3 linked regions of the Xenopus tropicalis genome follow. The protein of the gene in region 2 binds, or shares a complex with, the protein of the main gene of each other region. Links are inferred from orthologs where the notes say so. Each region holds a gene or a part of one and is shown on either strand. Other genes may lie near its edges. The genes, in order: pde6g, gnat1 and unc119.

The links.
Region 1: the proteins of gnat1 (region 2) and pde6g are in contact, whole or in part, in a cryo-EM structure (PDB 7JSN), measured with the Bos taurus proteins. The link is inferred for Xenopus tropicalis from reciprocal best matches to the Homo sapiens genes GNAT1 and PDE6G. Residues at the interface, in NP_851365.1 of Bos taurus: Ser140, Arg201, Arg204, Lys205, Trp207, Ile208, Phe211, Asp227, Val229, Glu235, Val236, Asn237, His240, Glu241, His244, Leu245, Ser248, Ile249, Ile281, Phe283, Glu305, Leu306, Met308; in NP_776846.1 of Bos taurus: Arg36, Gln37, Phe38, Lys39, Ser40, Lys41, Pro42, Pro43, Lys45, Leu60, Val66, Ile67, Cys68, Pro69, Trp70, Glu71, Phe73, Asn74, His75, Leu76, Glu77, Leu78.
Region 3: the proteins of gnat1 (region 2) and unc119 are in contact, whole or in part, in a crystal structure (PDB 3RBQ), measured with the Homo sapiens proteins. The link is inferred for Xenopus tropicalis from reciprocal best matches to the Homo sapiens genes GNAT1 and UNC119. Residues at the interface, in NP_000163.2 of Homo sapiens: Gly2, Ala3, Gly4, Ala5, Ser6, Ala7, Glu8; in NP_005139.1 of Homo sapiens: Asp87, Phe88, Val89, Arg90, Phe91, Ile105, Lys106, Lys107, Gly126, Arg127, Phe128, Val129, Tyr131, Phe137, Val147, Glu163, Leu172, Ser218, Tyr220, Asn230.

Annotation. Positions count from the first base shown.
Region 1 is NC_030686.2:31,881,938-31,890,102, reverse strand, and holds the start of pde6g (phosphodiesterase 6G), read right to left. Parts: upstream 4,442-8,165; 5' UTR 4,362-4,441; intron 1-4,361.
Region 2 is NC_030680.2:126,816,873-126,824,976, reverse strand, and holds the start of gnat1 (guanine nucleotide-binding protein G(t) subunit alpha-1), read right to left. Parts: upstream 4,314-8,104; 5' UTR 4,205-4,313; coding exon 4,099-4,204; intron 583-4,098; coding exon 540-582; intron 1-539. UniProt on the Homo sapiens protein: Functions as a signal transducer for the rod photoreceptor RHO. Required for normal RHO-mediated light perception by the retina.
Region 3 is NC_030678.2:34,704,069-34,711,534, reverse strand, and holds the end of unc119 (protein unc-119 homolog A), read right to left. Parts: intron 6,543-7,466; coding exon 6,429-6,542; intron 4,085-6,428; coding exon 3,982-4,084; intron 2,998-3,981; coding exon 2,825-2,997; intron 2,211-2,824; coding exon 2,098-2,210; 3' UTR 91-2,097; downstream 1-90. UniProt on the Homo sapiens protein: Involved in synaptic functions in photoreceptor cells, the signal transduction in immune cells as a Src family kinase activator, endosome recycling, the uptake of bacteria and endocytosis, protein trafficking in sensory neurons and as lipid-binding chaperone with specificity for a diverse subset of myristoylated proteins.

The sequences.
Region 1 (8,165 bases), on a different chromosome or scaffold from region 2:
AGTCCAAAGGAAGAGTTTACCAAAAAATGGACTTTAGGTATTAGGTAGATTGCAGCTGTCTGGTCTTAATTGGGTTTGGTCCAGTAATGTGGCCCCAAGCAAGCATTAGGTACATGGTTTAGAATACCTTTGCTTCTTGGTGGTCTTATTTTTCGACTCTCTCCCACCATTTATATATGAGCTAACCAACACATTGTTTCATGAGTTTAAAGTCCTTCCAGCACTAACAGATAAGGGGCACACCATGCCTTTCTACATATCTGAATCTCTTATAAATAAGTCCCTGTACTCTGTTCTTGCCCTTACATTTACGTGTGGAACAAAATGGATTCTTCTCATAATAGTAGGCAGAAGAACATATGGATTAAAGTGGTGCATTCCTACCAACACTTCCAACTGTAATAATCCAATCTGAATATTAAGACAGAACATAATCTGCCCTGTGCTCAGTTACATCTAAACTCCATATACTGTACCCTCCTTTATATTTAGGCACGTCCTGCCCCTTCTCAGGAACGTGAAACAGGAATGTCTTTCCTAATGAGGGAACAACGTATGCAACCAATAACATTAGAAGACTGTTGCTAATTTATATGTTTAACGTAGATTGTCTGCCTATTCTAATCCATGAGAACAGCTTCAGTTCAGCTATTCCATATACGTCAGGTACTTTCTGTCTCACTACGTAATTACATAAGATACAAGTGAGGAATTGTGCATTCTCTTTAAAAAGGAACTACATTTCCTTGTATGAAAGAGATGTAAAGAAAAAACATTTGTTGAGTGATCTTCAAATATTTCTTTGTGTGCTTTTCCCACAGTTTCTTTTCTCTGTAAATCTACAGTACTGCCAGTACAGATTAACAATAGCTAAGCACTTTATACAATATCTAACCATTCATAGCACTATCCGATCCCCTTCTTTTTTTTTTGTCTGAACAGTCAACTCAATTCTGTCTGAAAAAGCATAAGTAATGACAGCACAAGTCCCCCAAGACCCTCCCTTTATCATGGAGTATTCCTGGTAGTCAAATCTACTTCCATCTTATTATACATGTCTATCTTATACACTACTGCTGAATTCTACATAGGGGATCTGATCTAACCAAAAGTTGCCTACAAATCACATTTTTTGAACTACAGGGTGATCTGACCAATTGCAAGTAGGCAGCACCGATGGATAAACAAATTGCACTGGTTGGTGCCACTGGCCTGGGAGGCTGTAGATACAATACCCACATGATTGACAATGTATTGAATTATAAAAGATATAATTTAGTTTACATTTGAGCAAAGAAGTATGTATTTGAAAAAGCCCATCAATACCCTCTTCTTAAAGGTGCACAACGTTTAGAAAAGAATTATGTGACATTATCAGGATTCATCAGAAATACATAAAAAAATACACAGAAATATTTAACTAATGTACTGCCAAATTTCCTTATATTAACCATTATATATCAGCAATGCATTAACTATATATGTGTCATTCCCCTCCAAAATGGAAATCCCTGGCAATTGGTAATTCCTTTTCTTTCACGTAGGCCATACCTACAAGGTGTAATGTATTCTTACAATTTTAGTTGTAAAACAGGTGCTTAACAGGTTTTATTTATTTTTTCAGAGTAGGTTAAGAAACCCCTGAAACAAATGACTGCTAAACATCCACAAGTAAAGATAATGGCAAAAGGGGCTGTTTCACAAGTGCTAAAGGAGAAGGAAGTCATAGTCAACAGGATGGGGGGCCTAAATAGTTAGATACCCTGCCCCCACTAATAATAATTGCTAACCTGTGACCCTGGGATGGGGGGGGGGGCATTAAGCTTATACTACACTGGCCAAGGTGCCAATGTAAGAGTTCCTGCTTACATATTTTATCCACTGTGGAGCCCCAGACAGCCCAGGGTGGGTGCACTTGCACCATGGAGAAAATGCCATTTTTTTTCCTTAAAACTTTGAGTCTTTACTCTGCACATCAGTTACAAAAGCTTACTGGGAGAGCAAAATAGATGGCAATGTGGCGCTCCGTCAGTAGTACCCTGAGCCAGACCAATTTAACCTAGCACCCAAGCAGTGGTTTAAAAGAGAGACAGGGATATGAATAGAGGAGAGCCTAAATAGAAAGATATGTCATTTAAAGGTAACAATAACAATAAAATTGCAGCTTCACAGGTCAAAAGTTTTTTGGCTTCTGGGGTCAGTGACCCCCATTTGAAAGCTGATAAGAGTCAGAAGAAGAAGGCAAATCATTCAAAATCTATAAATAATAAAGACTAATTGAAAAGTTGCTAAAAATAGGTCATTCTATAATATACTGTAAGGTTAACCTGAAGGAGAACCACCCCTTTAACAAATTCTGGTGATAGCGCTTATTAGGACACAGTTGCCAGCAAAAGCATTTGCTACTTGCAAACGCAGTGTTAAACCACCCAGAACAGCCCTGTGTGGAATTACTCTAAAGTAGCAGTGGTGTTTAGGAAAGGCTCACAGAAGGTAACTTCTGAAAGGGACACTGATGATTCTTAAATGTAATTATAGAAATACATTTTTAAAAATTCTAATTATTGATGGGGAAGGGGCTTACCATGGCAGTGGCCAGCCTAGATATTGGTAAGAACAGCTAGGTCTCTCATCTTGATTCTTCTGATTGATACTTTCAGGTCTGGTTTGGACCTCAGGAATCCTGTATAGGCATTATTTATAATTTGTGAGCCTGCAGTACCTACCTTTAACAAAAGGCTATTACTTGTTACTCTGTTGGGTCAAATGCACAATTCAGTGGAGGCAATCTGATCCATGGTATAGGGGAGTGCAAAAAAACTAAAAGGGCTGGTTTCGGGGATATCTGTAGCCTTTGTAGCAATATTTTCTAAGGTTTTAAAGAGGTATTTATGTTGTTTCTTTTCACTTAATATTGTTAACATAAAGTTAACAATAATAATATGGTTATGTTATGGGCTAGATAATCCCATTCCATGATGCAGGTTGGATTTTGATCTGTGCTGTGTGTTGCCAGCAATGTAAGCAAACACAGCAGAAATCAAAGAGCCAACCAGAAATGTAGAGTCTGCAGCAATGGCACTATGGTCACAATAAGGATTTTAATAAAGTGCCGCTACAATCTGAAGAAACAAAAGTGGTAGCATTTCATTAAACTGACAATATTCTATTCACATATAAACATTTAAGAGGCCACAAAACCATCCTTATAATGTTAGGCACTCTCTAGAATCTAATGAAACTGACCACCTCACCATTTACAGGAAACTATTATTTGGATAAAAAAGTGCTCCCACTCCTTCCAAGGCTATTTCCCTACCAGATTTTTAGTGTGTCAGGTGATTGAGCTGTTGTTTCAGTTCACATGCTTTGCTATTGATTTATGTAAGCTTTGCATGGCTGCATAGTTGACAACAGGACAAGTGAAAGGCTTGGATATGACAGGATTAAACAAAGGTGTTTGCTGATGCAGCAGAATCGTTTCACTTCAAGCTGCTTATACAGAATCACAAATCCCTCGACCTGGCCCCTTCTGGATTTGATTGCAACAGACGGGTACAGCATACATGAATCCTTGTGCCTAATAGAATCTAATGCATCATAAGAGTTTGGACAGTGGTTTAACTTGCTGAAGTTCAAAAACAAAAGAAAAAAAATCAGCATAACTAGTTGCCAATGCGGTAAGAATTTCAAAATTTGATATATTTGTATATAGGATCTGTAGAGATAAAACGTTTGTATTTTGGATCCTTGTGCAATGGGGGTGGCACTGTGTGTACCTCCATGAGACTCCTCTTTTCTTCAGGTGAACAAACTTCATATTAAAACATAATAAATGGATGGGCCATCTGTATTTTACCATACTCTGTGCATCATCTCCTGGACACCCAAAACCAAATGTAGTTGTACAGTTCATACCTACAAAAAAGTGCCTTGCTCTGTTGATAGTATCCATCCGCATTATTGTGATTTCAATGCACACAAAAACCCAGAATACACTCTTGCTTTGCAACATAAACATCTTAATGTGAGAAATTAACTAGATTTCACCCCCCAAGTCACACCATGTCTGCATATGGTGAAAAGTATACAAATATATTGTACTACCAAATCTCCTTTTTCACCCCAAAACTAAGTATTAATACAAGAGAGAAGCAAGTTAGCAATTCGCTGAAACCAAAGTACACTTTAAGCCCTTCCCCATTCCTAAAATATCAGACTCTTAGAAAGCACCTCAGTTTGGCTTTTAAATCTACCCAAACACAAAAATATTCAAACTAAATGTTAGGAAGAATGACTCTCATGATGCTGTAATCCATTTTTAAATTACAGATGCTGATCTTTTCATTTCTATAACTTACCCTTTGCAAAAAGATTTCACATGTCCTGCCACAGTTACGGGAGGTGAGCAGCGGTACCTCACTTCATGCCTCCTCTCTTGGGACAGCTGATCCTTTGCATCAGCTGAGTCTCTGGATTTATCAGGCTCAGGGTTAATAGGATTACAGTTCTCGTTCTCAATAAGTAATCTGATATTCCATTGGTGGGGGCACAGACAGTACGTATTTGTGATGCGAACAGGTTACATATTTATTGCGTGCAACACTTAAAATCCTTATTAATAAATATATTTTACATTTCACCACAAATATATGCATAATGTACTACTTATATACAAATGGTAGGCCCTAGTAAAATGGTGAACAAGCTTTAATATAAACATGTCAGTTGATAAAGATTTCTTCATATTTCTACTGAATTACACCATTCACTGGGCTTTGCTTACAGTATATTAGAGGAACTTTAGAGAATTGGAGTATTGTACACTATGAATTCCATTTCAAAATTCCAACTTTATGCTGATTTTTAGACCCGTTTACTATGTCCCTGTTACACAACAGTCCATAGTTTAAGCTAAGACTTGTCCTTGATCATTCTGAAGCGTATTTCCATCCTTATGAACATTTTAAGGTTCTCATCGTCTATATGCTTTTCCAGAACCTGAAGCACCCTTTCGCCTCCATCTTTGTACAGTTCCAGGAGCTCCTCTGCATATGTAATCCATACACAATTGTGACAGCCACTCATACAGCAGTGTGTTGGAGGTGGTGGTAATTGGGAATCGCCGGGATTTTGTGAGTCATCTATGATACGATCTACTCTCTGCATTGCGCTGCTGGAATTAGTCACATGACTTGAACTGTTTGTAATCTTTTCACTTGTGGATGTGTTTAAAAATCGCATTGCATTTGTACTTCTGTTCACTAAAGACAGGACCGATGTGAGTCTCCTCAAGATAGAAAGTGGCATCTGTAAGAAAGAACTATAATTTACTGCAGATATAATACACACACGCTTTCATGATATGGTTTTGTTGCTCATTTATATACAGGTAAAAAGAAACTTGCACATGGTCCTCCATCTTTGGTCCTTGAGACTAAGACAATGTGTTGTAGGTAACTGTTTACTAGTTCCCTTATTAACATGGCAAACAGGCTAACATTTGACATTTACAAACAGATTTATTGCAACTGTGCACATCTGGGGACTTTAAACATGACCACAATTATAGTGGTAAGATAAAGGATCTCAGCTTGTCACCCCAACACTAACTATAAAACAGAACAACTAAAACATGGTAATCAAATATATAACTCAGTACAGATAATAAAATCACCATTGTCTATAGGATCAGCATCTTCTATATAGGAGGTAAATCAGTGTCAGTATGGTGGACATGGCTCTAAACAAACAACCTACCAGCCACATAAATAATCACTGGTGCTGGGCCTTTGTATTTCACCCAGTAATCCTAATCTAACAAATTGGACCAAATAAATTATAGCAACAAGTTGGCAATTAATCTTGAAAAGTGTACTGCAGGTGAAATAATGAAAAGCTTAACTGGGTCTAAATAGCCCTACCATACTTAACATGTTAATGGACATGAGTATTAGTTTGACTGGATTTTAAACAGGGCTTTTAAATAATGATGGAGTATAATAAATAGAAATTTCTGGGACCTGCAGCAAAAACCATTTTAGAAACCCCCTAAATTTAAATTATTCCTAAAGTCTCCGATTGCTTTTTAAGGTGATTCTCACCTACAGAAAATGTATGATTAAAAGTAATTCTAGTAATACATTTTGGGAGGTGACAGGGGTAAATAAGAGTGTTATAGGTAGAGATAAATAGGGTGGGTAAAGATTTGGTTGGGGCTCTTGTGGAATCAGTGGATACCTGAAAGAGGTCCTTTCTGCAGTATTGGGTGTAGACCAGATAAATAGTTTCTTTTATCCACCAACTTTTGGTGCTTTGCTAGCCATTTTTCCATGGTAAGTGGAGGCAAATGGGACAAACAGTAAGCCTGTTTTGTGGACACCATCGAGGTTATGCAATGTGGCTTCCTTGGCATTCTGTGGCTTGGGACACAGGGAAGGCAAGGTGATTTCTTGATTTAAAGTGAAAATGACACTAAAAAAATATTAACATACATTAATTTTCGCAGTTGTTACTTAAAGTTCTTAAACCTGACTCTTTTTCCAACCCAATTGTCCCTTTTCAACCTGTCAGTTTTAGCTTCTAATACTAACAGACTACTGCTACACAAATATAGCAGCCCCCTCATAGAGGAACATAGGAAACCAAATAGGTAATCTAAAAGTATTGGTCAGATACTTTTATGGTAAAATTCTAAAGCTCATACAAATACAATGTTATGATAGTTGTATAAAAAGTTTTCATTTCTGGTGTCTGTATCTTGTGATATTCCGACACTACCTTTGGGTGGAATTCGGATTTGCTACAGAGTACCACCTTGTCCTCATGGAAAACACAAAGAGGGCTTTAGCAATAAAGGGCCAATAGATCCAAAACTGGAACAAGTGGTTGAAATTCTGGCTGAAGCAATAACAATGAGAAAGGCCACCTTAATTGATAAGAACTTTAGACTGACTGTAAGGGGTTTGTCTGGGTTTGTAGAGCTCAGAGGACGAGACTGAAGTCCCAGGGTGGGAGTGGGGCTTGCCTGCGTGGTTGAATATGGAGAGCCACTTGCAGGAAGGTCTTAAAATCTGGATGGAGTGCCAATTGTGTTTGGAGCAGAACAGAGTGCAGATACATGAACTTTCAGGGAGCATGAACTTGGGCCTTATCTAGGCCTTGTTGGAGGAATTCTAGAATATGTGGTATAGAGATTTCTCTCTGGTCTTTATGTCTCAATATTCTGTGGCAAGAGTGCACAATGACTCTTCTAGGCTTGCAGCAGTGTGCTGATTACTTTTGTTGAGAAACCTTAGTCCACCTAGTTGATGGTCTTAAGAGCCATAGGGTCAGGGATGATATCTTGTGATGTAGACCTTGGGAAAGAAATTCTTGGCGTAGAGGTAGCCTCCATGGTGCTGTAACCAACTTGTCCTGGAGGTCTGAGAACCAGGCCTGATTGGGCCAGTATGGCGATCAGAATGGTAGTAGTGTTGTGAGACTTTAGGTTTTTTCAGTACTCGGTGAAGCATGATATATATAGCTGTGAGCAGGTACAAGTGGAATTCTGCCCAAGCTAGAATCTTTGTCAACTCTTTCCAAGCAGCTTGGCTGTGGGTGACCCTAGATGACTAATGTACGCAACAACTTTTGCTTTATCTGATTTGATCTTCACAGGATGCCCCCATAGCTGATCAGTCCAGTAAAGTGATGTGTAGCTGATCACTCACAGCTCCAAGGAATTGATAGGTAACTTGCTCTCGGCAGCTGACCATTTGCCCTGGACTGTACTTGTTTCCCATTCCAAGAGAAACAAGTGTTTCTTGTGATGATTCTGCTTAAGGGCCGTGACACACAGGGAGATTAGTCGCGCCGTGACTTATCACCCCGCAATGCCATCCCACTGGCTAGAATGTAAATCGCCGGTGGGATGGCATACGCGGGGCACAATTTGCCTAAGTTGCCTTGGGAGGAAACTATGGCGACTTTGGCAAATCGTACAAGACACATGTGGATCTTCATCATCTGCTCAATTTCCACTAAGGCACTGAGGAAGACATTGGAGCTGGATGATAAACAGCCTGAACCTAAACAATATAAAAAGTCTGCTTCAAAAAAAGAATCACTTTTTCCAGTTCATGAGGTCATCAAAAACCTAATTCTTGAACAATGGGAAAACCCAG
Region 2 (8,104 bases):
TAGAGGTGTGTAAGAGAAGCAGTATAGAGCACTAGCTGTGTAAGAGTTGCACACAAGAGTTGAACACAAACTGTATAAAAGGAGTTGTAATAAAAAGGCACAGACACTAAGTTTGCCCAGGTGCAGTAACCCATAACAGCAAATAAGATGTTTGCTTTCAGGCAGGTGACCAGAGGCTACCTGCTGATTGCTTTAGGTATAGGTATTTGTATTGGTAAGTGCACCTGGACAATCTTTTTACATAACCTCATGTGTGTGCTATAGGAGCTGTGCAGCTCAGGAGAAAGTAATATACAATATCTAGTGGCTCTTTTGTTATGTTTCCCTCTGTAGCAGGAGCAAGTTGGGGAGGAACCCTAAGCATGTTACTCTGGCAGCTATTCCATGTAGAAGTGTGTTTATTGTAGTGAAAAGTGGCTGGGCTTGGTGAAAAATAAAGTCTGTGTGTGCACAGGTTTCATAAATGAAATCCTTATTGTGTGGGAATGGGGGTGCAAGTGGCAGTGCAAGTGGCAGTGCGTATGGGGTCTGTAACTTACTTCATCTGTTTTACAATGGTGCTTTTTCCAGACTCACCCGCCCCTGTAACCAAAAGAACAAAATAACTGTAACTGTGAAATAGACACAGAAAGTACTACAATGGACACTTAAGCAGTTATCTGATATTCATTCTTGTAAAATAAATTATAATTGATTGCTGTAGGTTGCCACATTGTGTCTTGCGTTGTACTTCAGTATATGAGGGCCTCTGAATATCCTGTCAGTCTCTATGTTAAATGCTCATGTGCCTTATCCTCCTGCTGTTACAACAACAAACCATAAGTAGCAAAATGTTCCTGGAGAACTCTTTCCATGCAGGGGAGCCAGTTAGTAGACATACAATATTTTCATGGGCCAGACTGTATCAAAATGATGATATAGTGCAGTTTATGGAACCCACACACAGATTGGAGTGTGGTCAAAATTTCTTGGACATCCGCAATAAAGCCAAGAGGCCTCCAGCTGGATAGCTTTTGTAGCTTGTAGGCTTTTGGGATAGGGGCCCTGCTGTGGGTCCCAGTAGCATTTAGTTAAGCCACTAGTGAAGACTAGATTAGGCATCTTTTATTTTCATGGGTCTACTTAAACCAGCACCTGCCTAGAATTTTGTCTAGAATTTTTAATTTTTCTATTGAAGCATAGGTCTATTTAAAAGAAAAACCTGAGGAAACATCACTAGTAATAGCCACAGACAATGGTATTTGGGCAAAAAATGCGCAGAATGGACATTAAAGTCTCAGTTCTTGATAGTGGGCTTCCATGCCCTGCGGACATACTAAGATCCTCCTGTGACAAACATAGCTGAGGGATACATAGTATTATAGGTAAAGTATCCAATAGTCTAATAACCCATTGGGATAAACATATACCTTTTAGTGCAAATAAACATTGAAGATGTAATCTTAATATGTATGTGTAACTAGCAGCATAAGATTCTACTATCTGTAACAGGACAGCTCCCTATTGGGCGGTCATAATAAAGAGAAAATACAATTATTTTGCAATAAACTCTCTCTTTTTTGGAATTTTGTTACAATGAGCCTTACTAACTAAGTACTTACAGGCTGTTTGTATCAGGCATATATTCAGTGCTCTAGGGAAATGTATAGGCCATAATGGTTTTAGTAGCAATCACAGTATTTTCTCCTGTATGTTTACACCCTGTATTACCACTGGCTGATTTAAAGACATGCTGTTAGCCATTGTTTATATTTTTTATTCATTTATAAGAACCAGGTTATCTACAAATGAAAATCCAGGCTCAAAACAGGAGACATGTGACTTTAGTATCTATGGGCACCAAGGCAATTTTATAATTTTTATAAGTTTTAAGCCTTTGCTCATGAAGTCAGTACGGTGTGCCATTCATTTTGCCATGGTTCCAAGAATATTTTGGCAGCAAATATATTTTCACCCCAGAATTATTCTATTCTATTCTATTATTCTAATTGATCTTCAAGCTGGGCTTTCAGGTGTATTCTCCTCAAACTCTGACTTTCATTGGCGTTTAGAGCCCCTCCTTAGTAACTTCCCAGTATTGTAACTGGGATGTGTGTATGTGATGAGTTACAGAGAGATTTTACTAGTCTCAGGGCAAAGAAACTGATTGCAGCACAATGAGTAATATAAGACTATAACTGGATGCAAAACAATGTAACTAGCTACAGATTGGGATTACTGCTCACAAAACAATAACGTTGATCACAAACTATACTCTACCACTGACTGGGGGTGGGTGGGGTGGGTTATGTTCCACAGGTATCAGCTGTAGGCTTACTACAACAGAAAAAATGGAACAGTAACACCTAAGACATATCTCTCTATGAGACAATTTTCACACACTGTGTCTTCATAGATGTCTTCTAGAACTCAATCTGATCACGTTATCAAAGGTAACATGCAGTCACAATGTATAAACCATGTATTAATTTAATACCTGTCAATTATGCTGCTAATAATGATGCTCATCATTATGATGCTCATAGGTATGTGTGAACAATGGGAACACCATACAATCTGGAGATAAAGACCACCTTCTGTGTCAGATAGGGTTGAGCCACTAATTTTTATTTATATAAATGTACAGATGGCACACTGTCTGTGTTCCTCTGGGATTACCCATCTGACCTTGTACCTTCTCAAGGTGTAAGCATTAAGCCTCCTTTTCTAGGGGCTGGGCAGCTTTAATGGGATAAGACCCAGAGCTGGGATCAGCTGTTAGAACCTGATCTCTCTTCTCATCACTTTCATTCTATTTGTGTTTAACTTAGATATCCCTCTCTTATCTCAACAGCCTATAGGGAGGAGGAAGATTTGAAAATTGCTTACAATTTACAAGTAAACTATTTTAAATGTCATTTATCTGAAGGATTTGAGGATTAAGAGCAGATTGGAAGGGAGTGAGTAATGTGAGGACCAGACAAAGCCTTCAATTTTGTTTTTACAATGGAATATCTGTATATGAGCAGTGCACATATGACAGTACATTATATGCTACAGTATGAGGGTATAGAGGCTGTGTTTAGACAGGCAGGCAGGTAGGAAAGGAGACACAGTGGCCAAATTATTCATTCATTGTCCAGCACACTATTGAGAGCCTGTATAAAAAAGAAGAGTCATGTGGCTTTAAGTGTTCAACTGAATTAAATCAGAACCATAAGGATTTGGCCACATCCAATATCCTACAAAAGATGCTGGAATTCAGTTCAATCCTGAACAGATTCCTGGATATGGTTCACCCCTATGCATACATTTATGTATAGGCCTACAGACCAAGAAATCCATTGGCACTCCCCTTATGTATGTGGTTCTTCCCAGCAGCGCAGGCACAAATGTCAGCATATTATTGGGGATATTAATGTAAAGGTACTGTTGGTACAACTGTAGGTAGGGGGCATCATTGCTAGAGCCCTGAGAACCAATATATAGTATATGCATTATGGTTATGTATGACATAGGCTCCACTGGAGAAACTGGCAGCTGATTAGTAGTACTAGTTACAATATTGCTCCAGTGTGGTAAAAACCCTCAGCATTAAAAATTAGCCTACTGCAAGGTAGACAGAGAAAGGAAATGCTTGGGTGTAATAGTTAATTAAGTTGGTGCCATTCAATACCTTTGTTAAATGATCCCTTGCCTATAAATATTAATATACTATAAAGGGCACTATTGTTTTTTTACTTCTCACACTGCTTTATTTTTTTTTAGAATATTCCCTTTTTGTGACAAAAAGGTTAAGGGCCATTTACAAACAGATGGTCTCTAATTGATGTCTCTCTTCCAGCTGAAACCCTCTAATTGGTGTCACTGTGTACAATGAGAAGGACTTTAGCCAGTCACTTTCTGCCAAATGAAGTTCTCTAATTGATCTCGCTTTCTTTCTTTTTTCTCCCCTGCCCTGACCTTTTCTTTCCCATTCTATATTGTCTGATTCTTCATTACTGTACTGTTATCTGGGAAAAGTCTGTTGTGGCCAACAAGAACAAAACATGAACAAACTCTTGACAGGCTGACCAGCAGTACTTTGTTCCGTTAGTTATGAGGAATGTGTTTACTCACCCAAGAGGAGCAGTTTGACAGTCCTTGCATCTTTCTCGGCATCTTCCTTTAGCTTCTTTTCTAACTCCCGAGAGTGCTTCTCTTCAGCACTGGCTCCAGCCCCCATATTCCCGTATTCCAAGTGCGGGGCAAGAGAGAGATGGCTGAACCTGACCTCCTGGTTTCTCTAAAAATGGGGGAATTCCAAACAGGGGAACGGGGAGCTAATGTGGTCCCTGCCGTCTGGCTGTTTGACCACCACTTAGTGCTCTACCCCCTCTCCTTCTCCCAAAGCTGATCTGCTGTAATTCCCAAAAGGGTTTTACAGATCCAAGTGGTCAGGTGACCCACTTTGGCCTATGGGGTGCAAGGACAGGTATGGGGGCTGAGCAGGTGTGGGAGATGCTGAGCTCAGCTGAAGTGTATTGCCCAGGAAAGATGGGTATCCTTATCCACAGAAGAGGTTTATCTTAAATCTGTGTATACGCTGAGTCCAGAGAGGAGAGATTTGTGCTAAGCCATCTCTATCCTGTACAAAGATCTCACTAGTAGCATTTGTACTCAGACACACTGCCCGTCCTTCCCTGCCAACAGGTAGAGTCATGGCTTCAGGAAACAAGCACTGCTATCATTTCAGAAGTTGGATCTTTTTTTTAGAATAAAATATACATGTGACTGAATGAATCAATATTTCACCAATAGTCAGCTTCAGAGTCAATTAAAAGTACAGCAAACAGGTAGGCCACAGACAACTATGTATGCTGTGCCTGCTGACAACTATGTATGCTACACACATGTGTGAAAGTTATAGGTATCTTTAACTGAGAATCCCTGTGCGTATGTAATGTGGAATCCACATAGTCCTGCACTGCCACATCTACCTCTATTTTGTTTGCTTCTGTATGGCACAAGGTTGTCTTCTTATGAAGGCCCATGGATATCATGATGATGCATGTGTTCTATAAATAGGCAAAGAAACCTCCCAGAGGGACTCGCTGCATATAACCATTGATTTTGTACCCAGGTTTCACTATGACACTAACAAAAAAAAAAACATATTCAAGAACACAGTGATGATAAAGGATATTAAGGTAAATACGACTTTAAGGTATGTAAAGACCTACAGTATATCCCAATAGTTGCTTGTAGCTTTATAATATAGAATCCAGGAGCTATATAACTAGATAATATAGCAGATCTTGCAAGGATTTGCGTTAGCTAAGATCTTAGTTATGCCTAAAACTTGGCAGGGATCCCCTAAACTGAATACACAACAGGTTCACCTTGTGGCTTGACATGGCAGAGTCAAGTGTAATTTAAATATGGCCTCTTATGTTAAAGTAAAATCCAGTGCAGTTGAGTTGATTGGCTGAGTTCACTAGATCAACATCTTGTGCAAAGTGATTCAACTAAGAAGCAACTCACTTGATGAACTGTCATCCTGATCACTGTAATCTGGTGACATGGGTGTGCAATTTATGCTTAAATTCCAGTAGATCCAATGAGCTGATTTTGGGCTGATCAAACCAATCAAACCCAAGCAATATGACTAGATTTCACTCATGGCTTACCTTACCATCTTAAGCTTGAAAAACAGGCAGTGGGATATGTGCCAAGTGTACTGGCTGATATATAGAAGACTCTAGTGAAACTGTTCAAAAGGCCAATCTGCTCAATTGTTTCAAGTGGCTGCACATTCATTCTACGGTATGCTACCCACTTGCAAAGCACCATTACTCTTCCTCTTCATCATCCTCTTGGAAATCGGGTGTCTCTGGTAGCAGAACTAATAGCGGGATCCATCCAGCAATCAAAGTTGGATTACATGATTATTATTATTATTAACATTTATTTATAAAGCGCCAACATACTCCGCAGCGCTGTACAATAAGTGGGTTTCATACATTGGACATAGTGAAGCATTACCAGTAATGTTGGCCAAGACATCCAATCAGTAATCAGATTTCAACAGTAGCAAAGCATCTATTGGCTGCTATGAGCAACATTACCTGTAATGTCTTACTCCACTTTTTACACATTGTGATAAATATACCCCTTAGTATCTTACTAAGTATATTAATAAAACATTTGGCCCGTGACTTAGCCTGTGTTTTAGATTTCGGCCCCCTTATGTGATTGAGTTTGACACCCCTGCTATAGAAGATTACTAACCAGGTATGAAAGTTGTTCCAATCAGATTGCAAGGGCACTAAAACACCAATACACCTGAGGCCAAAAGTGTCAGCAGATTTATTATTCTTTACTGTATTTTTCCGTCCAACACCTGAAAGCCCAGCAATTTGTACAAACGCTAAGCTTGCTCATTTTTTAGCTATTTGTTTTTAGCTTTAATTGCCCTCATTTTGAAATTATTTGTGTCAGCATTAATAAGCCTCAGCAAGGAAGTCTCTAATGGAATTGCAAGTCATTATGTGTGCTACAGTATATAAAGATCAGCACTGTGCAAACACTTTCAATTTTATGCTAATGCATTCACCCCGGGGGATCCGGCTCTTTACCTAGTAAACAGATATGTGATGGGCATCATATGCTAACGAAGGATAAAGAAAATGTAACAAACAAATACATGGGATGTGTGGGCTGAAATAATAGACAAGTGCACTAAGCAAAATCAAATAATTTTCCAACATCTTTTAAGCTCACAGTGTAAAGCTCACGTTGTTCCATTCTGAAGTAATAGATTCTGGGAGTCCCTCACCTTTCCATACTAGGTTGTGCGCAGATTCTCTGGAAAGCAGACTTCAAATCCCAGAATCCATCACTTTGCAACAGAACAAGGTAAGGGAGGAGATCATTCTGTGAGACTAAAGGTGGGGAGGAGGAAGCTGGTCCTGAAACTATTATGGTTTCCTTTCTCTCTATGGAATCAGGTATGTATGTGTAAAGAAACACATTTTTGTGATTGGTTATTTGATAAACCAATGTAAACTGGCAGAATACAGGAGGCTCAGTTTGGCAGTATACATGGTCTTCCAAAACTTACATCTTTATTCAAAAATAAGCACCTGTTTTGAGGCCACTGGGAGCAACATCCCAGGGGTTAGGGAGCAACATGTTGCCCCCGAGTCACTGTTTGGGGATCACTGCAAAGAGACACTTAAAAGTGCATAAAACCCCCTTGTTTAACATGAGTGCAATGAATAGAGCTTGTACCGAAGTAAACATACTTTACCCATATTTTATTTACAAGAGATCCATGGCTATTGTTATTTCCTGAGCTAAACAGGGCAAATTGGGAAAGAAAAGCTACTCCATATTTGATCCTTGAGTAGTAAATAAATAGAATCTCAGTGCACAGGTAATCCCCCATCCTAATGGATTTCTGCTCACAAAACAGTCAAAACTAAACATGAAAGGCAGGGTTTGAATACTGATAATCTACTAGGGATAGGCAGAATATATAGGGTGCAACAGTGAGGGGGCACCAGGCAGGTACCTCGTCTGTCGGCCTACCCCTCTGGGCCCTTCTGTAACTCTGAGTGGTGGGCACGCTGAGTTTTCTTGTTTTGCATATCAAGTCCATCCTACTCTGAAAATGCAAATGTATATCCGCCCCTTGTGTGTGTATCATTCTAGCACAGTATTTGCCCCCTTCAACTTGTAAGTGGGTGATATTTACCTCGGAGCTTATAACCTGTATAAAAGCATTTGGTTGGCAATCTCATGCCTTTAAATCGGGGGGGACAAACTTTTAGGCTCAGGGGCCACATTAACTGACAGGCCGGACCAGCGCCGTCTCTGATTGTCAGTCCCCTGGGTTTTGCGTTGCTGCATTTACATGCAGTCTTGATGCCAAGTCTCGTGTGATGAGACTTGCGGAGTCAGGATTTTCTGAAAGACAGAAGATTGCAGACTGCGTTTCGTACGATATTCGGTGTGTGTATGGCAAGTCGGCGAGTCGACCAATATCGCAGGTGGCTGCTGATATCAGTCGACTCGCCGATCGGCCAGGTTAAAAGATTTTGATCGGGCACCATAGAAGACGCCTGAGCAAAATCTGCCGGCA
Region 3 (7,466 bases), on a different chromosome or scaffold from region 2:
GGGTTTAATTAAATGTTTAAATGAGTTTTAGCAGACTTAAGGTTTGGAGATTTACCTCAAAATATAAATGAACTTCTCACACAATATTGGTTTCATTTCACAAAAGTTTACTATAATTAAGTCAGAACACAAACAAGACTGAAATGACCCCTCTACCAAGCTGGTGGCGGTACTTTGTTAAAATCTATGATACTTACAGTAACAATTATCTGAAGTGCACATATTACATTCTACTTAATCCTCAAACAGACAGACATTCTTTATTTATAATTATACATAGAAATATCTACAACTTGCAGCTGTAAAGACTCCCTCCTTATTTATACAGAAAATGGTGGATTCGGTAAAGTGAAAAATATGCATTTGATAAGTGACAGTTATTAAAATAATGAAATATCAAAAGTGAATTCTTTCTTCGGTCTCATCGTTACCCAGCCGTACGTATGCACTGTAGGGACAGCCATTTACCTGCATTATAAACTAGTTATTTAAATGTCCGTTAGCGGAATATCTCGCAGCATCGTCAAACATGTTTCAAGGAAGAAATCTGAAATTCCAGGTCAGCAAAATACAATAAATTTGTTCTAAAGAAAGAAAATACATGATGATAAAGTCATATTGTTAAAAAAACAATGAGAACTGGAATTGGGTTTTTTTTTTTATCAATGTATGTTAATTGGTTTTGGTGAGGTTAATCCTTAAATATAAATGCTTATTTACATTTGATGGTCTCATAAAATATACAGCAATTCATTTATTCTGCCCCAACACCAAGAGCACAGCTGCAGCATTTTGGAAGCTCATTACAAAAATGTCAGAGAAGATACTAATGGCTGGACTTGATCATATTTACTGGAAATCTGTATAGCTGTTCCAATGCATCTGGAGATCTTCTCCTCTTCCCAATATAGGTGCCACAGCATTTTTTCTTTTTAAAAATAAATTGTGTAGTTATCATCATCATCAAGAAGAGGAAGAAGAAACGAAAAAGACCTCCAAAATTGAAGCTATTCACAATCTTCATGATATTGTATTATACATGGAATTATTGCTCAACTGACTGGAATTCTAAATGTGCATTTACTGCAATCAAAAAAAGAAAAAAAAAATACTTGCCTCTGTGAGCTTGTTCCCCAGGAGGAGGACCGGACCATTTGAAATAAATATGCAGCGCTTCTTGGTGATATTTAAATTAAAGACAAAAAAAAATAAAGGAAAAAAACAAACAATTGCTCACAGGTTGTTACTGATTGTACTCCGTTCTAGTCTCCATGATGGATTACATTGCTAATATTGTTATTTCTGCACAATACAGTGTAACCGTAAACAAAACTTATTTCAAATATATCAGATCAGGTTTTACCTTGGATGGGCCTCATTGCTTCAGACTCATAGGTAACTAGGCTGGACTCAATAATAATGTAATTTGCAATCATGGATGGAACACTTAATCCTTAACGATCTATGCACAATTTTGTGTTTGTTTTTTGTGTAATAGCCATCTCATTAGAAATGAATGGGAAAATGTCAAACAATACTTAATGCCTAGAGAATAACAAGAATCCTAACAAGTGCAAGCCCAAAGAGGAAGAACTGATTAAATCTTTGGCTTGGATTTCCTTGATAACAATGTTTTTTTCCCAAGCTGACATTTAGTAAAAAAAGAAACTACTGAATGATTTTTTTGTCCTTTCTTCTCTTAGATAGAGGCAAGAATATTGATGAAGAACTCACAAGCCTGTCATATGAGAAAGGTTGGTCCTAAGAAGACTTAGATAAGATGCAAGAGTCCTTGTTCCAGGAGAACAACCCTTTATATGGAGCAAGAGAGAAGTATTTATTTAGGTTTATCCTTATCCCACATTCATGTTGGGAAGGGCTGATGAAGTCCACTGCCTCAGATTTTGCAGTTTGACGATTCTTGCACTATCTGAATGTGCTACAAAGACTGGGGTACAGCCAAAAATCTCCTACTTGCAAACAGTATATTGTTTCCTGGATTGTTTGCCTACGGAAAGTGGGTGTTATCCCTTACGTAACTGCTATGGGGAAAGGGGACTGCTGTTGATGCTTTCTCGCTCGTGCTATTTTTGGGGATCACGGACCTCCGCTATATGAATAATCTGCCTTGTTGTGCATCACAAGTTTGTTGTCCACAAAGTAGAAACTGTCCGATTGTGTCTCATATGGGTGCAGAATCATTTCGCGAACTGCAAAATAGAATGAGAAAAAAAAGGGGAAACAAGATTTTTATTTTGCAATATTTATTAAACATCAATCTCAAACAAAATGGACCTTCCATTGCCAGAATGTTACAGAATATTATGAGTACAGATTTATTTGGCAAAAATGTACTTTAAGCCATCTAATTCTTTATCTTACAGTCTCAGGGTAGAAGCTTGCACACAAATGGTGGATATGTCAGCCTTACATGCCAAGTTCTATTGCCTATTCACCCTAAAAGAATAACCAAACAGCTGGCAGGCATTTTCCCTCAATATTTATTCAGGCTTATGAAAATACAGTGAGAATGGAGTTCTCAGTTGACATCTTATGAAGGTTGGAAAATTACACAAATTCTGGCAATCTGTGGGTTCTGGCAAATGCCAGAGGGGCTGCTGTAAGATGCCATAGACAGTCACTATTTATTGGGCTGGTGGGGGGCTGTTTGGGCCTCTGTGTACTTGAAATGCCAGGGCCTATTTTGAAGTTGAAATCTGCACTGATTCACGGAGAATCAGACTGCATTTGTTATATGAAATAAAATATAACCACAGAGAGGAACAGATATATTTCTAAATACTTACGTAGAGAAATAACTTACTTAGATCCTCAGAGAGCTGTGGAAATTCATAGATATGTTCGCAAGTGTTTTTACTGCTGGGGATACAGAAGCCAAATTCAAAATCGAAGCTTTTTAATAGCTGCTCACGAAAATAATGCCGTTCAATCATGCGGAAGTTATTAATGGGCTTATCACCAACTGTGAATTCAACTCTGCAATAAAATATATACATACATAAATATAAAAGATACATGTTTGCTTCAGTAACGCAGACTTTGTGATCAGTCAGAGGCTGCTACACAAAAGGGCTCATTTATGTCAACAAGTGCAGTGAGTAAAGTGCAGTTTTGAGCCACAATGCAAATGTTCTTTTTCTAAAACCAGTGGATCTCGTAACACAGCATATAATACACAATGCAACTACATTCTTTTGTAATAATGGACACAACTGTGTCTGTTGCATAAGGGTTGCAACCGAGACAAGTATTTTCTAAGCCTGCCTGTCATCTGGTGTTCTCGGGCATCATTTCTGGTGTTTGCCATGACGTGTGTGCCCTATTCCTTTAGCACAACTGTGCTGTGGCAATTGACAGAGGGCACGAGGGGAACCCTGGAGCTACCTCCTGGTCCAGAGGTGGCAGTAGCTCCAGAGTACCCATGCGTTAGTAGGTGCTGCGGCACACGATTCCAAACAGAAGACAGAAAGGAGTGGTGCCCAGAGCAACTATAGGAAGGAGCAAGTACATTTAATGACAGAGTTGTTATGCAATGCTCTCACTATACTTATACCCCTGCCTGGCCCAGGACCAGTTGAAGTAAAATACTCGTTGGTGCCTCCAACCTCATGTGGCCCAGGCAGACTTTCACATTAAGCACAATATGAGTCTGTTGTATGTAACACTATTTTCATAGCTAGTGCCATTATGGAGAATGAAATATATTATCCATAAAAGTTGAACTCTAATTTACATGCAAACCATTGCATAAATGTTCCATTTTTATTTATTCTCTCCTCATACTTAGATTAATATACTGATTTTCATGTGCAGAACTGCATGTTCTTAGTTAAGCCATAAAGGAAATGAAAACAACTATCGCACATAGTTTGTATTTACATTACCTGAACCTACTTGCAAATTCTCTCATAGCAGAAGAGCAAGCATTTGCTTATAAGAGTGATCTTTCTAGGCACTTACGTTGCTCCTACTTGGCGCAGTCGCAGGAAAGCTGGAGTGAACTGGTATCGGACAAATCTGCCAGCATTAGGATCAGCATCCTTTTTATCGCCGTGGTCACGTTCTAAAACATAAAATGTGCTATCTAATGAAATGCTATATAAGGGAATTTAGCTTGCCACAACATTGCAAGGATCCAAGGGGTTGGTAAGCAACATGTTGCCCACAAGCCACTGTTTGGGGATCACTGTTATAGAATGTCCTATACCTAGCAACTTTGCAACTGGTCTTCATTATTTATCTTTAATGGTTTTTGGGTTATTTGCCTTTCTCTACTACCTCTACCCAGCTTTCAATTGGGTGGTCACTGCAGGTAAAAAACTACTGCTCTGCAAAGCTACAATTTTATTACTTATCTTTCTATTCAATCACCTGTACTTATTCTAGTTTTATTCAAACCACTGCCTGGTTGCTAGGGAAAATAAGATCCTGGCAACCAGATGGCTGCTAAAATACCAAATTGCTAACCAAAAGCTAAATGACCAAAAAAAACTATAAAAAATGAAGACCAACTGCAAGTTGTCTCAGAATATCTAATCATTGTCTAAATCATAGTAAAAGTTAAAGGAACAGTAACACCAAAAAATGAAAGTGTATAAAAGTAACTAAAATATAATGTGCTGCTGCCCTGCACTGGTAAAAGTTGTGTGTTTACTTCAGAAAGTCTACTATAATTTATATAAATAAGCTGCTGTGTAGCCATGGAGGCAGCCATTCAAAGGAGAAAAGGCACAGGCACATAGCAGATAACAGATAAAACACTATTGTATTCTACAGAACTTATCTGTTATGTTACATAACATATCTGCTATGTAACCTGTGCCTTTTCTCCTTTTTTCCAGCTTGAATGGCTGCCCCCGGGGCTACACAGCAGCTTATTATATAAATTATAGTAGGGTTACTGTAGCAAACACACCAATTTTACCAGTGCAGGGCAACAGTGCATTATATTTTCATTACTTTAAAGCTCTTTCATTTTTTGGTGTTACTGTTCCTTTAAAATAAAGCTAAACAACCCCTTTAACACAGCTTTAGAAGCGCAGCTTTCTGGCGGGTTTGGTTAATCTGTAAAAGCAATCTGTGCCTGGTTATTTAACACCATCAGTATATCCCAACAGCAGGTTAAGGTGGCCTTACATGGGCAGATAAAAGCTGCTGACGGTCACGGAGTGGGCAGCTTATCAGCAGTGCCCGGGGCCTTCAGACAGGCCTGCCCAAACAATAAGCAGCCAGATGATGATCAGGGTGAGAAGTGCATATGCGCTTAGATTGGTCCACTTGTATAGAGTCCTCACCAAACGAGTGGACCTTTCTGCATATGACCAGCTTTAAGTTCCCAACAAACATCCAATGGTACATTCAGACAAAAGGAAAACAAATCCAGCCTGCTACTTAACAGACAAGGAATATGTGCATAAGTCCCTCTTGGAACGGTAATATACCCAAACCCATCAGTTAGCAATGATTGCTATGACTACAATGGAAAACTATTTCTGTAACAACCCTGTATCTTCTAATTCAAGGATTTATGACTCACTTCATTGCATTGCATAAAGTCCCAAATTAAGCCTATAGGTCAAGTGTTACAACAGTTACAATCCTGATCATTGTGAGTAGAACTCCCTTCTCAGCAGTGTGTCAGCCTGGAAATTCTGGGTGCCAGGCGGGTTGAAAATATTGGGTGCTCATTTATAAACACTGGGCAGCTGCAGGTTGAAAGCAAACATCTTATTTGCTGCCATGGGTTACTGCCCACTGCCAAATAAAATATCAAAATAATATATTATATATAATAATATAAAATACACATTTCTGAAAAGCTCTGATTCTAGTAAGGTGCTACATTTGTAGATTGTAAGCTCTTTTGGGCAGGGCTCTCTTCACCTCTTGTACTGGTTATTGATTGCTTTATATGTTACTCTGTATGTCCAATGTATGAAACCCACTTATTGTACAGCGCTGCGGAATATGTTGGCGCTTTATAAATAATTGTTAATAATAATAATAATAATAATAACTACCCAGCTGTGATCACTTCTTCTTTTCAGAATGGGATATTTTCCATGGAGCCAGTCCGGTTTGAAAATAGCATACTATAGCAGTAGCAGCATTGTAATGAAATTTTATTGTTTGGTTTAAATGGCATTAAACGGCACTGCGTGACTAGACACAACCATTTTTACGATCATAATGGATTTAGCTTTACATGAAATACATGACACGCAGTATAATAATCTGATAAAGCACTTCCTGGGTGGGGAGTGTTATTGCCACAGGCTTCCTCCCAAGGCTGAGCAAACAAATACATTTACAATACAAGTGTATATTCACATTTGTGTAAGGGTTCCCCATGTCTGTGTGTTGGGAGATTCTATCCCTTGCTAGAATCAGCATAATTCTGTACATACCTGATGCTGGTGGCTTGGTAATTTCAAACAACACCGTTCCAGACTCCATGTCACGAATTTTAAATCTGGTAAAGTCTATTTTGTAAACGTTTTCTTCAGGGGTACACAGGTAATCTGGATGGGAGTAAAAAATAGCTTCAATCAATAAAACGGTAAGACAGGAAAAAAATATAGGGTTCCTGAAACAGGAGACTGCAGCTAAATTCTGATATAAAACATTATTATGAAAATATATCCCCGTAAATAGTGTTCGGGACTGTTATCAGTTATAATCAGTGCTTAGTGATGTCCTTTGTGTCACATGACTCATTGAAACACGTGGATTAAAAATAATGAACCCTTTGTTCCATTACTTCTATTCCTCCCTGTACATTGCACCGGCTGCTTCCTTTTAATGATTGCATTCCGCCTTCATTTGGTGTCTGTAAAGGTGGCCATACAAGGGCAGATTTAAGATACCAATTTGTTAGTTGGCAGCTTATCTGCCAGAGTATGGGGCCCTCCCACAGTCCTACTTGACCAATATCTGGCTGAAAATCGGGCAGGTGTTGATTTGATTTTCCTGTCTGACCACATTGGCTTGTTCACGCGAGCCAACAGCTTTTATTCCCATTGTGGTGATCTGATCTTTTGGCCTTAGGGCTAAACGATCAGATCAGCCCGATATTGGCCACTTCACAAATGAATGGATCTTATAATGTATGGCCAGCACTACCCAGAAAATCACCAATGGGTGAATGGGTAAGCATACAAAAAACACAAAAATTTACTTTTTTTTTTTACCTTCAGTAATTTACATAAAACTTTGTGCATAAATGTAATTAATTAGATTTATAAAAATAAGTATTTGTCACAAAGACTTGTATTGACAACTTGTTGAGTTGCACAGACGGTTCTTTAAATGCTTCAGTTTGAAAAATGAATATTTTGACCCCTCACTCCTGTTTTCCCCCACAGCAATATCTCTATGGAGTAGTTATTGTTTCTGTATATGGATGAAAGGAATATCAAGCAACATAGCAACAGCCAAAATAGGAA